Linked DNA regions of Macaca fascicularis. The protein of the gene in region 2 binds, or shares a complex with, the protein of the main gene of each other region. Links are inferred from orthologs where the notes say so. Each region holds a gene or a part of one and is shown on either strand. Other genes may lie near its edges. The genes, in order: NUP205, E3 SUMO-protein ligase RanBP2 and NUP160.

Evidence for each region.
Region 1: E3 SUMO-protein ligase RanBP2 (region 2) and NUP205 share a complex: the UniProt entries of both Homo sapiens proteins name them as parts of the nuclear pore complex. The link is inferred for Macaca fascicularis from reciprocal best matches to the Homo sapiens genes RANBP2 and NUP205.
Region 3: E3 SUMO-protein ligase RanBP2 (region 2) and NUP160 share a complex: the UniProt entries of both Homo sapiens proteins name them as parts of the nuclear pore complex. The link is inferred for Macaca fascicularis from reciprocal best matches to the Homo sapiens genes RANBP2 and NUP160.

Annotation. Positions count from the first base shown.
Region 1 is NC_088377.1:177,292,169-177,295,825, reverse strand, and holds part of NUP205 (nuclear pore complex protein Nup205), read right to left. Parts: intron 3,645-3,657; coding exon 3,487-3,644; intron 3,132-3,486; coding exon 3,051-3,131; intron 2,319-3,050; coding exon 2,127-2,318; intron 1,357-2,126; coding exon 1,089-1,356; intron 990-1,088; coding exon 891-989; intron 1-890. UniProt on the Homo sapiens protein: Plays a role in the nuclear pore complex (NPC) assembly and/or maintenance. May anchor NUP62 and other nucleoporins, but not NUP153 and TPR, to the NPC.
Region 2 is NC_088387.1:16,275,553-16,278,351, reverse strand, and holds part of E3 SUMO-protein ligase RanBP2, read right to left. Parts: intron 1,096-2,799; coding exon 935-1,095; intron 242-934; coding exon 1-241. UniProt on the Homo sapiens protein: E3 SUMO-protein ligase which facilitates SUMO1 and SUMO2 conjugation by UBE2I. Involved in transport factor (Ran-GTP, karyopherin)-mediated protein import via the F-G repeat-containing domain which acts as a docking site for substrates.
Region 3 is NC_088388.1:18,019,211-18,022,867, reverse strand, and holds part of NUP160 (nuclear pore complex protein Nup160), read right to left. Parts: intron 2,936-3,657; coding exon 2,836-2,935; intron 2,571-2,835; coding exon 2,405-2,570; exon of another isoform or gene 2,390-2,404; intron 1,953-2,389; coding exon 1,825-1,952; intron 1,748-1,824; coding exon 1,587-1,747; intron 1-1,586. UniProt on the Homo sapiens protein: Functions as a component of the nuclear pore complex (NPC). Involved in poly(A)+ RNA transport.

The DNA.
Region 1 (3,657 bases), on a different chromosome or scaffold from region 2:
ACTGGAGAAGGTCATTCGTTTGCATCTATTAAAATAAAAGTACATACTTTTTCACATGGAAATTCTACCATTAAGCAGCATCCTTTCTGAGAAATATAGGCATATAAAAAAAATTGATGTAGCATTTTTGTAATAAAAATTTAGAAACAATTGAAATGCCTATGAATAAGGAAAATGGCTAAATAAGTGTTTCATCCATATCATGGAATAACAAAGACTTTTTGTGGCTTTTTTTTTTTTTTTTTTTTGAGATGGAGTTTCACTCTTGTTGCCCAGGCTGGAGTGCAGTGGCATGATCTGGGCAACCTCCGCCTCCTGGGTTCAAGCGATTCTCCTGCTTCAGCCTCCCGAGTAGCTGGGATTACAGATGCCAGCCACCGTGGCCGCTAATTTTTTGATTTTTAGTAGAGATGGGGCTTCATGATGTTGGCCAAGCTGGTCTCGAACTCCTGACCTCAGGTGATCCACCGGCCTCGGTCTCCCAAAGTGCTAGGATTACAGGCGTGAGCCACCACGCCAGGAAGAGATATTTTAAAAGAATCAACTAGATATGTACTCTGATGTAGCACAAAGGAAAGAAAGACGTTGGGCCATTCTATGTAGAGCATACTGCTCAGTGGGACTTGAGGCAAGTGAGGGAGTTACAGAAGTATATAAACCTAAAGTATTATTTGAAGGTTTTTTTAAAAGCAGTATTCAAGTATTACTTCATAATTCTTAAAAACTAAACATTCTCCCTCAACTTTTGAGTAAATGCTTTAAAAAATGACACCAACACTCATTTATTACAGTTGTGATTAGTCAAAAGATGGAGAAGTGATTTTTTTTTTTTTCAGTTTAAAGTAACCATCTCCCAATCCAGAAAAGATTAGGAATTGATCTCATTCTACCTGCTTCTAAGGTGTCTGGCTCATCAGGTCTCTGGGCAATCTGTAAGTAATAAAGCAGAGAGCCATACAAGTGAGTCCTCACTCGCTGGAATCCACCACCTAGGGAGATTAGGAAGATGTCAAATGAAAATCTTTTCTCAATTAAAGTTAAAACAAATACAATGGATAGAATTTATAGAAATTTTAGATGAAAAAAACCTGTCTTCAAAATGAAGTCTAACAGTTTCTTCAATATGATGTAAAGTGAAGAATCTCCAATAGAAGCAAAACCCACTAATGGGTTCTCTTCTGGAGGAGGTGAGGTGAAGGAACTATCAAGCATAAAAGCGTAATGGGCATCTGCTGGTCCCAAGACTGATGTTTGCTTCTGTTCGGTGAGGACGGCCTGGCTCAGGTGAGCAGTCAGTGTGAACACTGCCCCAGCGACTACAGGCATTAACTCCTGCGCTGCTTCATCATCCAGTATCTTAAAGGACAAGGGCAAATCAGAGTGAGAATCCTGCTTTCAGCTATAATCATTAACAAGTTTCACAGCTTTTTTTTTTTTTTTTTTTTTTTTAAGATAGGGTCCCGCTCTGTCACCCAGGCTGGAGTGCAGTAGCATAATCTCAGCTCACTTCGGCCTTGACCTCTTGGGCTCAGGTGGTCTTCCCACCTCAGGAGATTGGTCTCAAACTCCTGGGCTCAAGCGATCCTCCCACCTTGGCCTCTCAAAGTTCTGGGATTACAGGCATGAATCACTGCATACAGCCCATTAACAAGTTTTATATATATTTAGTTTGTCAACTGTGACAACAATATAAGAATGGAATACAGAAATTAGTCAAAAAAAAAAAAAGAAAAGAAAGAAAAAAATCTAATATATACAGAGAAATTTAAATATGATGCTAGGTAATGGGTGTTCTTAACCAGAAGGGATTCCTATCAGAATTCCCTAAGGAGGTTTTCTTTTTGAAATTCACATAAATGGTCTCACCATTACATTCAGTAGGTCTGGGGTGGGCTCTGTCCATGTTAACTTTTACAAAGCTCCCTAGATAATTCGGACACACACTCTGGTTGACAGTCACTACTGTACAGAATTAATCCCTTTCTCAAGGAAAGTCTTAATGTTGGTATTGTGCAATTCTATTTTATTCCTAATCAAAAATGGAAAACAATTGGGGTGCCAAAATTTATTCGTTTAAATGATACATATTTGTTCAGCAGTATAAAGTAATTTAGGAAGTATGTCACCTTATCATGCACGTCTTGTAAAATATCACGAATAATCAGTTGTCGATCCTCTGCCTGAATGAGGTCCTGGGGACAAGCTGTCAGTATAATTTCTACCAGTTGCCTCCACGACTCCAGAGCGTGACGTTTTGCATGAAGACACTGCAGCAATTTATTTCTTCCTACCACATACTGAAGTACAGTGCTGATTTCCTAAAGCCACAGGAATGGAATCACAAGGTTAAACAGGCAAATAAGGTCAGTTATCTGTCAGTTACTCAGAAAATATCTATTTGGAAACCTACTACATGCATGCCACGAAGCAGATATCTTTTCATATTATTTCAGTAGCCAGGGCTATAAAAATACTAATATATAAGGTGTGTATGTGTGTGTGTGTATGTGCATGAAAGGTAGGGGACAGAGGTGGCATAGATAAATTTGTATTTTTTGACACTATCTTCTTTCTCCTTGTACCTATCTACTTATACTTGCTTACTCTAGAGCACTAGAATTATTTAAACTCCAAGTTCAATGGCATGTTTCCCTGACATCTCTTTTATTTCTTTGCCTCTTGCTTTGGCCTGGCCAGCTATGTCTCCATGCATGTGGTTCTTCCCATCTGACCTCTTACCTGTAACTTTCCACTTGTGATGACAAATGACCCTCCTCTCTCACTGACGGGGACCAAGTGAGGTATAATACGAAATATGGTCAGGCTGCAAATCCTTAACTAGTCTAGCAGAAAAGGTGTTATTTATTTCGGCATACCAGATAGTTCAGCTTATAAAAGTTATAAAATCAAAAGTGAAAGACTCCCTAAATGTTTAATTTTTAGGTAGCTTACTAATTAGCAAACTACACGTTAATATACTATTTTAGTCTTTTCACCAGCAACCTAAGTAGTTAAAAGGTTGAAACGAACACATACTCAATAGAGCTTACCTCCATGAGTAGAGGTCTCTGTCCTATGGCTGCCATACCCTGAAGGGCATTTACTTCAGCTACAAGAACCCTATGAAGAAGCTGGATAATTAGGAAAAGAAAGAAAAATAAGACATTTCAGACACTGGTAGAACAATAACACCTAGCAATTATCATAAACTGCCCTAAAGGGAAAGGCGTCAGATACCTTTATATATAATCTAACTAGAGCAACGTCCACTTTCCAGGCCAAAATATTAAGTATCCCTTTTCAAGAAGTTAGTGTGATACATTAAGATTTATTTCAGGGATATTTTACAAAAACCATAGTCCTTCCTATAAACTAGTAAACCAATGTCTCTATCAGAAAGAAAACCTGTATGGTTCTATTTGTTTCTGATGACTTAAGGTCTGAGCCACTTGACACTGCAGATATGTACTTTAAAGCAACCCTCACCTTGACATTGCAGACTGTCTGTCCCCGTAAATTCTTGTGTTCACAGTTAGCAATAACTTGTTCAATCTGGGTCCGATCAAAAAAATCCAACTGCAAAGGCTCAGGGATCTCCTGACTGAAGTCAATCGAGTCAAGAATATTTAGAATTTTTCGACGTACTAGAAATAACAA
Region 2 (2,799 bases):
TATTTGAAACATTTAAGGGCTTTAATTCCATTGTTTTAGTAATAACGTGGTTTGCACACACTTTAAAAACCTGGTCTCTTCTCATAAGGATCCGGTAATAGTTCTTCATTGTATGCCAAAGAATCTTTATATCTCCAACACCACGTTCCTTCCACTGACTGACATCCCGATCCCATCTATAAAGTTTGGCTCTCTCTTTAAACAAAATTTCTTCATCTTCTTCTCCAGATTTTACTTCTACCTATAATAGGAGATGAAATACTCTATAAGCTGCTGCTTATAATAAATTCCATGACAAATTTCAAAGATCCAAATTCTTTTAAGGCATTTTCTTTGTGATGACAAAGAGAATTTGTTAATATAATAATTGGTTATATATCTTAGGGCTAGGAATACATCTGATGTGGCTGAGGGAGTAAAGACCTGATTTGTCATTAAATATTTTCTTTTATATAGTATTCATTTTCCCTTTGGAAATTAAATGCTTTTCTTTATAGGAACAGAGGTTTCAAAAGTGTCTGCTACTGAAGAGAAATATATAAGATACTGAGGTTAAAAATGACAAAATAATTTTCCTAGAACAATGTTCTTGTCCAAAAAACACAGATTAATGTTTATTGAAAGGACTTTCGTATGAGGTTAATTTTTCCCCAGAATCATGTTATAAAAACAAACATGATATTCTAGAAACATACGAAAAAATTATTTCTTCCCAACAATTACATATAGAATTTATAAACCAATATTTATGTAAAAACTGCAAAAAGATAATTTATACTTAAAGGCTAGACATCTAATAAATAGAGCTTCCATTTCAAACTGTAAACATTCTTAAATGCAAACAATGATATCCTGACAGATCAAGCCAGGGTAAGTTTTAAACTTAAAAATGAAAAATAAGTTATTAGTAAAAGTTTAATCCCTTAACATTTACCTCTGGTAGTGACACTATTGGTTCAAAATGGATATCTTCATTATGAACTACTTCTTCATCACTACCATCTTCATCTTCACCAACTTTACCAATTGACTGGGTTCCAACTGACTGTGTTCCAAACACAGCCGCTCCAGTATTTGCCCATTGGAAATTTTTATCTGATGAATAAATCAAGATATTTAAACACTGGTATCTATTTTTTACATTTTTCATCCCCCTCTTATTTTATCAATCCTTCTAATTCCCGATGATGTAATATGTACATCAATTTTAAATGTTTAAAACTATATTATTCTAGTAAATTCCTCACACCTGTAATCCCAGCACTTTGGGAGGCCAAGGTCATCTGAGGTCAGGGGTTCCAGACCAAACCATAGCCAACATGGTGAAACCCTATCTCTTCTAATAATACAAAAATTAGGCCGGGCGCAGTGGCTCATGCCTGTAATCCCAGCACTTTGGGAGGCGAAGGTGAGCGGATCGCCTGAAGTCAGGAGTTCGAAACCAATCTGACCAACATGGAGAAACCCCATCTCTACTAAAAATACAAAATTAGCTGGGCATGGTGGCACATGCCTGTAATCCCAGCTACTCAGGAGGCTAAGGCAGGAGAATCACTTGAACCCAGGACGCAGAGGTTGCAGTGAGCCGAGATGGCGCCACTGTACTCTAGCCTGGGCAGTAAGAGGGAAACTCCGTCTCAAAAAAAAAAAAAAAAAGCCAGGCGTGGTGGTATGCGCCTGTGGTCCTAGCTACTTGGGAGGCTGAAGCAGAAGAATCGCTTGAACCTGAGAGGTGGAGGTTGCAGTGAGCCGAGATCGCCCCACTGCAGTCCAGCCTAGGCAACAGAGCAAGATTCTGTCTTTAAAAAAAAAAAAAAAAAAAAAAGTTAGCGGTGTGTGGTTATGGGTGACTGTAATCCCAGCTACTCAGGAGGGCTGGGGCAGAAGAATCGCTTGAACTTGAGAGGCAGAGGTTGCAGTGATCCAATATCACCCCACTGCACTCCAGCCTGGGCAACAGCAAGACTCTGTCTTACAAAAAAAAAAATTAGCCGGGCGTGGTGGCGGGTGCCTGTAATCCCAGCTACTCAGGAGGCTAAGGCAGGAGAATCACTTGAACTTTGGTGGCAGAGGTTGCAATGAGCAGAGATCATGCCATTGTATTCCAGCCTGGGTGACAGAGCAAGACTGTCACCAAAAAAAAAAAAAAAAAAAAAAAAAAAACTTCATACTGGGAGTACAGAATACATTTGTTATTGTTTATGCTTAGAGATACAAAGATAACACTGTCACTGCCTTGGATAAACTTCATAATACTAAACTACACAAGGACTTCCAGTAAAGAAGTTAAGTTCTTTATCTACTTCTAAAATTTCAAGTATTCACCTTGAAATTTTGTAAACTTAGCTCAGCAGGCCAAACCTGCTACTTCCAAATTAGCCACAATAGCCTAAACATGTTTATAATTTCTGCATCTCTACTTCTTCCTGAAGAAGCTAGTGCTGGAATGTAGATTTCTTGGCTGGGCTGGTGGATAGCAGCCTTGGGGGAACCTCACTGACTTCAACTGCCCAAAGGGTATTAGACTGTTAAACATTCTACTTCTGTGTGGGGGAACAATGATGGTCTCTCTCTTGCATACCTGCAAGAAGGTGAGAACTAGAAACTTCTCCATCCCACACCTCAATTTAGATGACCAAGTCCCCACTATCTTAGAGGAAAGAAACACCTCTCAACTTTTCATCACTTGCTGAATCACTGTCTTAAAGAACCCTACACCTTCTGCTAAAAACTCATAAGAAAGAAAAAATGTCACAGGGTCCATAACTCAGTATCTTAAAGAACACAATAAAAAACTCT
Region 3 (3,657 bases), on a different chromosome or scaffold from region 2:
GCTGGGATTACAGGCACTACATCTGGCCTTTTTCTTACTCTTGCTTGAAATTCTACCATAAGCAATGTATCTAGGTTAATAAGTTCTTTCTTTTATTTGGAGACAGTCTCGCTCTGTCACCCAAGCTGGAGTGCAGTGGTGCAATCTCGCCTCACTGCAAACTCTGCCTCTTGCGTTCAAGTAATTCTCATGCCTTAGCCTCCTAAATGGCTGGGATTACAGGAGTGTGCCACTAGACCCTGTTAACTTTTTTGTTTTAATAGAGATGGAGTTTGCCATGTTGGCCAGGCTGGTCTTGAACTCCTGGCCTCCAGTGATCTGCCCACCTTAGCCTCCCAAAGTGCTAGGATTACAGGTGTCAGCCACTGTGCCTGGCCTGAATTAATACATTCTGACTTAAAATGTATAAGTACATTTATACATTTTAAGTCGGAATTAAAATGGGAGCCCCAAAGGACTTTTGGCTATTTACACATTAATATGAATTGGTTTAACTAGACTGCTTCCTTGATAGGCTCAAATGATATTACTGACTTAGAAAAAAAATAGGACGTCTGACTGTGGGCAGAAAAATAATTTCTTAGCATGGGACATTCAGTAGGGTGGGTGATTAGGACTATATATTAGTAACAAGAGTCTGGTGGTCTAAGAAGAACAGAATGAAAAAGAAAGCACAGAATGGAGTTAGGAGGACCACAAAGATAAACTTGCATCTCAAAACTGTGTTTAGGGTAAGCCTTGCACTGTAGAGAGTTCTTAGGCCAGGTGAGGTGGCTCACGCCTGTAATCCCAGCACTTTGGGAGGCCGAGGTGGGTGGATCACCTGAGGTCAGGAGTTCAAGACCAGCCTGGCCAAAATGGCAAAACCCCGTTTCTACTAAAAATACAAAAATTAGCCGGGTGCAGTGGCACACACCTGTAATCCCAGCTACTCAGGAAGCTGAGGCAGGAGAATTGCTTGAGCTGAGATAAGGCCACCGCACTCCAGCCTGGGCGACAAAGAAAGACTGTCTCAAAAAAAAAAAAAGAGAGAGAGGAAAAAAAAAAGTTTTCTTTTTCTTCCTCCATACTAAAGATTACTCTTACCACATTCATAGTTACTAATAAAACTACATTTTGGGAGAGCCAACCTGGGATAATTTTCCACTACTACACATACAAAGGTTAAGAGTAAAGCAATCTGCTTCATATATGTTTCTTTTAATCAACTCTTAAGTTCCAGGGTACACATGCAGGATGTGCAGGTTTGTCACGTAGGTAAACGTGTGCCATGATGGCTTGCTGCACATCAACCCATCACCTAAGTATTAGGCCCAGGATCCATCAGCTATTCTTTCTGATGTTCTCCCTCCCCACAATCCCCTCCATACATGCTCTTAATCTATAATCTCACAAGGATTACAATGCTTATTCATTCTTAATTCAAAAATATTGATAGAGCACCTCGTAAGGCCAAGCTTGGGGGACTAAAGCAGTAAACCAAGACAAAAGTATCTGTGCTAGTAGGGCTGACATTTTGCTCCTAAGTGCTTGTAGGCTTATACCAGGTTTTAGATTTTACAAGTTTTCCCTCAAGCAGTACTTACGGCATCTCCAAGCCTCATTAACAGCTGCTGTAAGATCAAAAGATCTCGGCAGATCAGGAAACGAGTACTGGCGATTTTATGCACACCTCTGCACACAATATACCCTGCTGTGCTACTACCATAGAGCTGGGAAAGATTCATTCTAATATTCAAAGGCTGAGCTGTAAAAAGAAGAAAAGTGGAGTTGAATGCATCATTGTTTTAATCAAAGAGGCACATTTGTTGTTCTGTCATTTACCTGGATTGAATCCCTTTTCCATTTCCACTTCTGTTTCATAATCCATTTCCCGTATAAGGAGTCCAATTGCATGGATTGGGTTCCTAATCTCTTGCAGTTTACTACAAATATCCTCCATTACATTTTCTCTATAAGGACAATTACAAAACTCTTATTACTACCGAGAATACGTAAGACAAGTTCTATATGTCCTATAAGCTAAATACATTATGAAACAAGAGAACCAGATAAAGGAATGAAGATAATCACTCTGGCATACAAGATACAGTCCCTATACATAGCAAATTTCCTCAGTTTTTCATGAACAACACACAAAACAAATGTGAGAAGAATATTTTTGTTTTTTAGAATTTTTAGCTCAGTTAATTGTTAAAGCATATTTTACAAGTCTATTTCCAGACTTCAAGTCATGTGTTAAATTTTCTGTTAAAAGTAGAAATATGTATTTAGAATCATGGCACATCAGTTTGACTTTAAGCTACTACTTTGTACACTCTGGAACATACATTAAAATCCCAACTTCGCAGCTAAAAATGCTGAATTTCCATTAGGAAATGCACTTTACCCTAATTCTCCTTACACATCAATAGTGATCAAATCTTCCAGAATCTGCTCTGCAGCCTTTTCCGGAGACTGTAGGTTATAACAACTCATTTCCATAATAACTGACATATCCATAGTTACTGACTCTCCAATCAGCCGGAGGCATTTTATAAGACATATGACATCCCGAGCGATATCCACATCTACAAATAAGAGAAAGTTAATTTATGTCTTAAGCCAATGACTATCTATTGATTGCTACTACATTAAAATGTTAATAATTAAATGACAAGATATCTATCTGAGGTCTCAGAGATGCTTTGGTCCTTAAGTGTTCATTAAAATATTTGTGGTGTGGTAAAGTGACCAAGACAGGTGTGGCAATCAATATTTTTTGTATCCATGTGAAACGAAGCATAGGGTTTATGTAGGAAGGGGATTAAATATGGACATAACAATTACTATTACCATCAGATATGGTTGTCTCATCTTCTGTCAAAAGGTTCTCATAAGGCAGGAGATATAAATGATCCACTAAGGAGGAGGGAATAAGGAAAGACAGGTACCCCTGGGAAAACAAATTTTCCAGTTACATTTTTTTCAGTAAAAGTTTAAAGGTATAAAATAATTGAGATGTGCATCTTATCACGAGGAAACACGAGACAAACCCAAGTTGCAATACACTCTATAAAACAATAGGTGTAGTCTTGGCAGGGCACAGTGGCTCACACCTGTGATCCCAGCAGTTTGGGAGGCTGAGGTAGGAGGATCACTTGACCCCAGGAGTTCAAGACCAGCCTGGATATCATGATGAAACCCCATCTCTTAAAAAAAAAAAAAAAAAATTAGCCAAGTGTGGTGGCAGGTAGCTTTAGTTCTAGCTACTAGGGAAGCTGAGGTGGGAGGATCACTTGAGCCTGGGAGGTTGAGGCTGCAGTGAGCCTTAAGAGTGCCACTGTACTCCAGCCTGGGTGACACAGCGAGATCCTGCCTCAAAAAAAACAAAAACAAAAAAACCCCAAAAAACAAAAAACAAGCATAGTCTTCAAATAATGTCATTCTCATGAAAGACAAACGCAGATAACAGTTTGAGGGTAAGTAAAAGAGACACAGTAACTAAATATATATATTAAATTGGATCCTGGGCTTTTGGAGGCCAAGACGGGCGGATCACCTGAGGCCAGGAGTTTGAGACCAGCCTGGCCAACATGGCGAAACTCCATCTCCACTAAAAATACAAAATTAGCCAGGCGTGGTGGCGCATGCCTGTAATCCCAGATACTCTGGAGG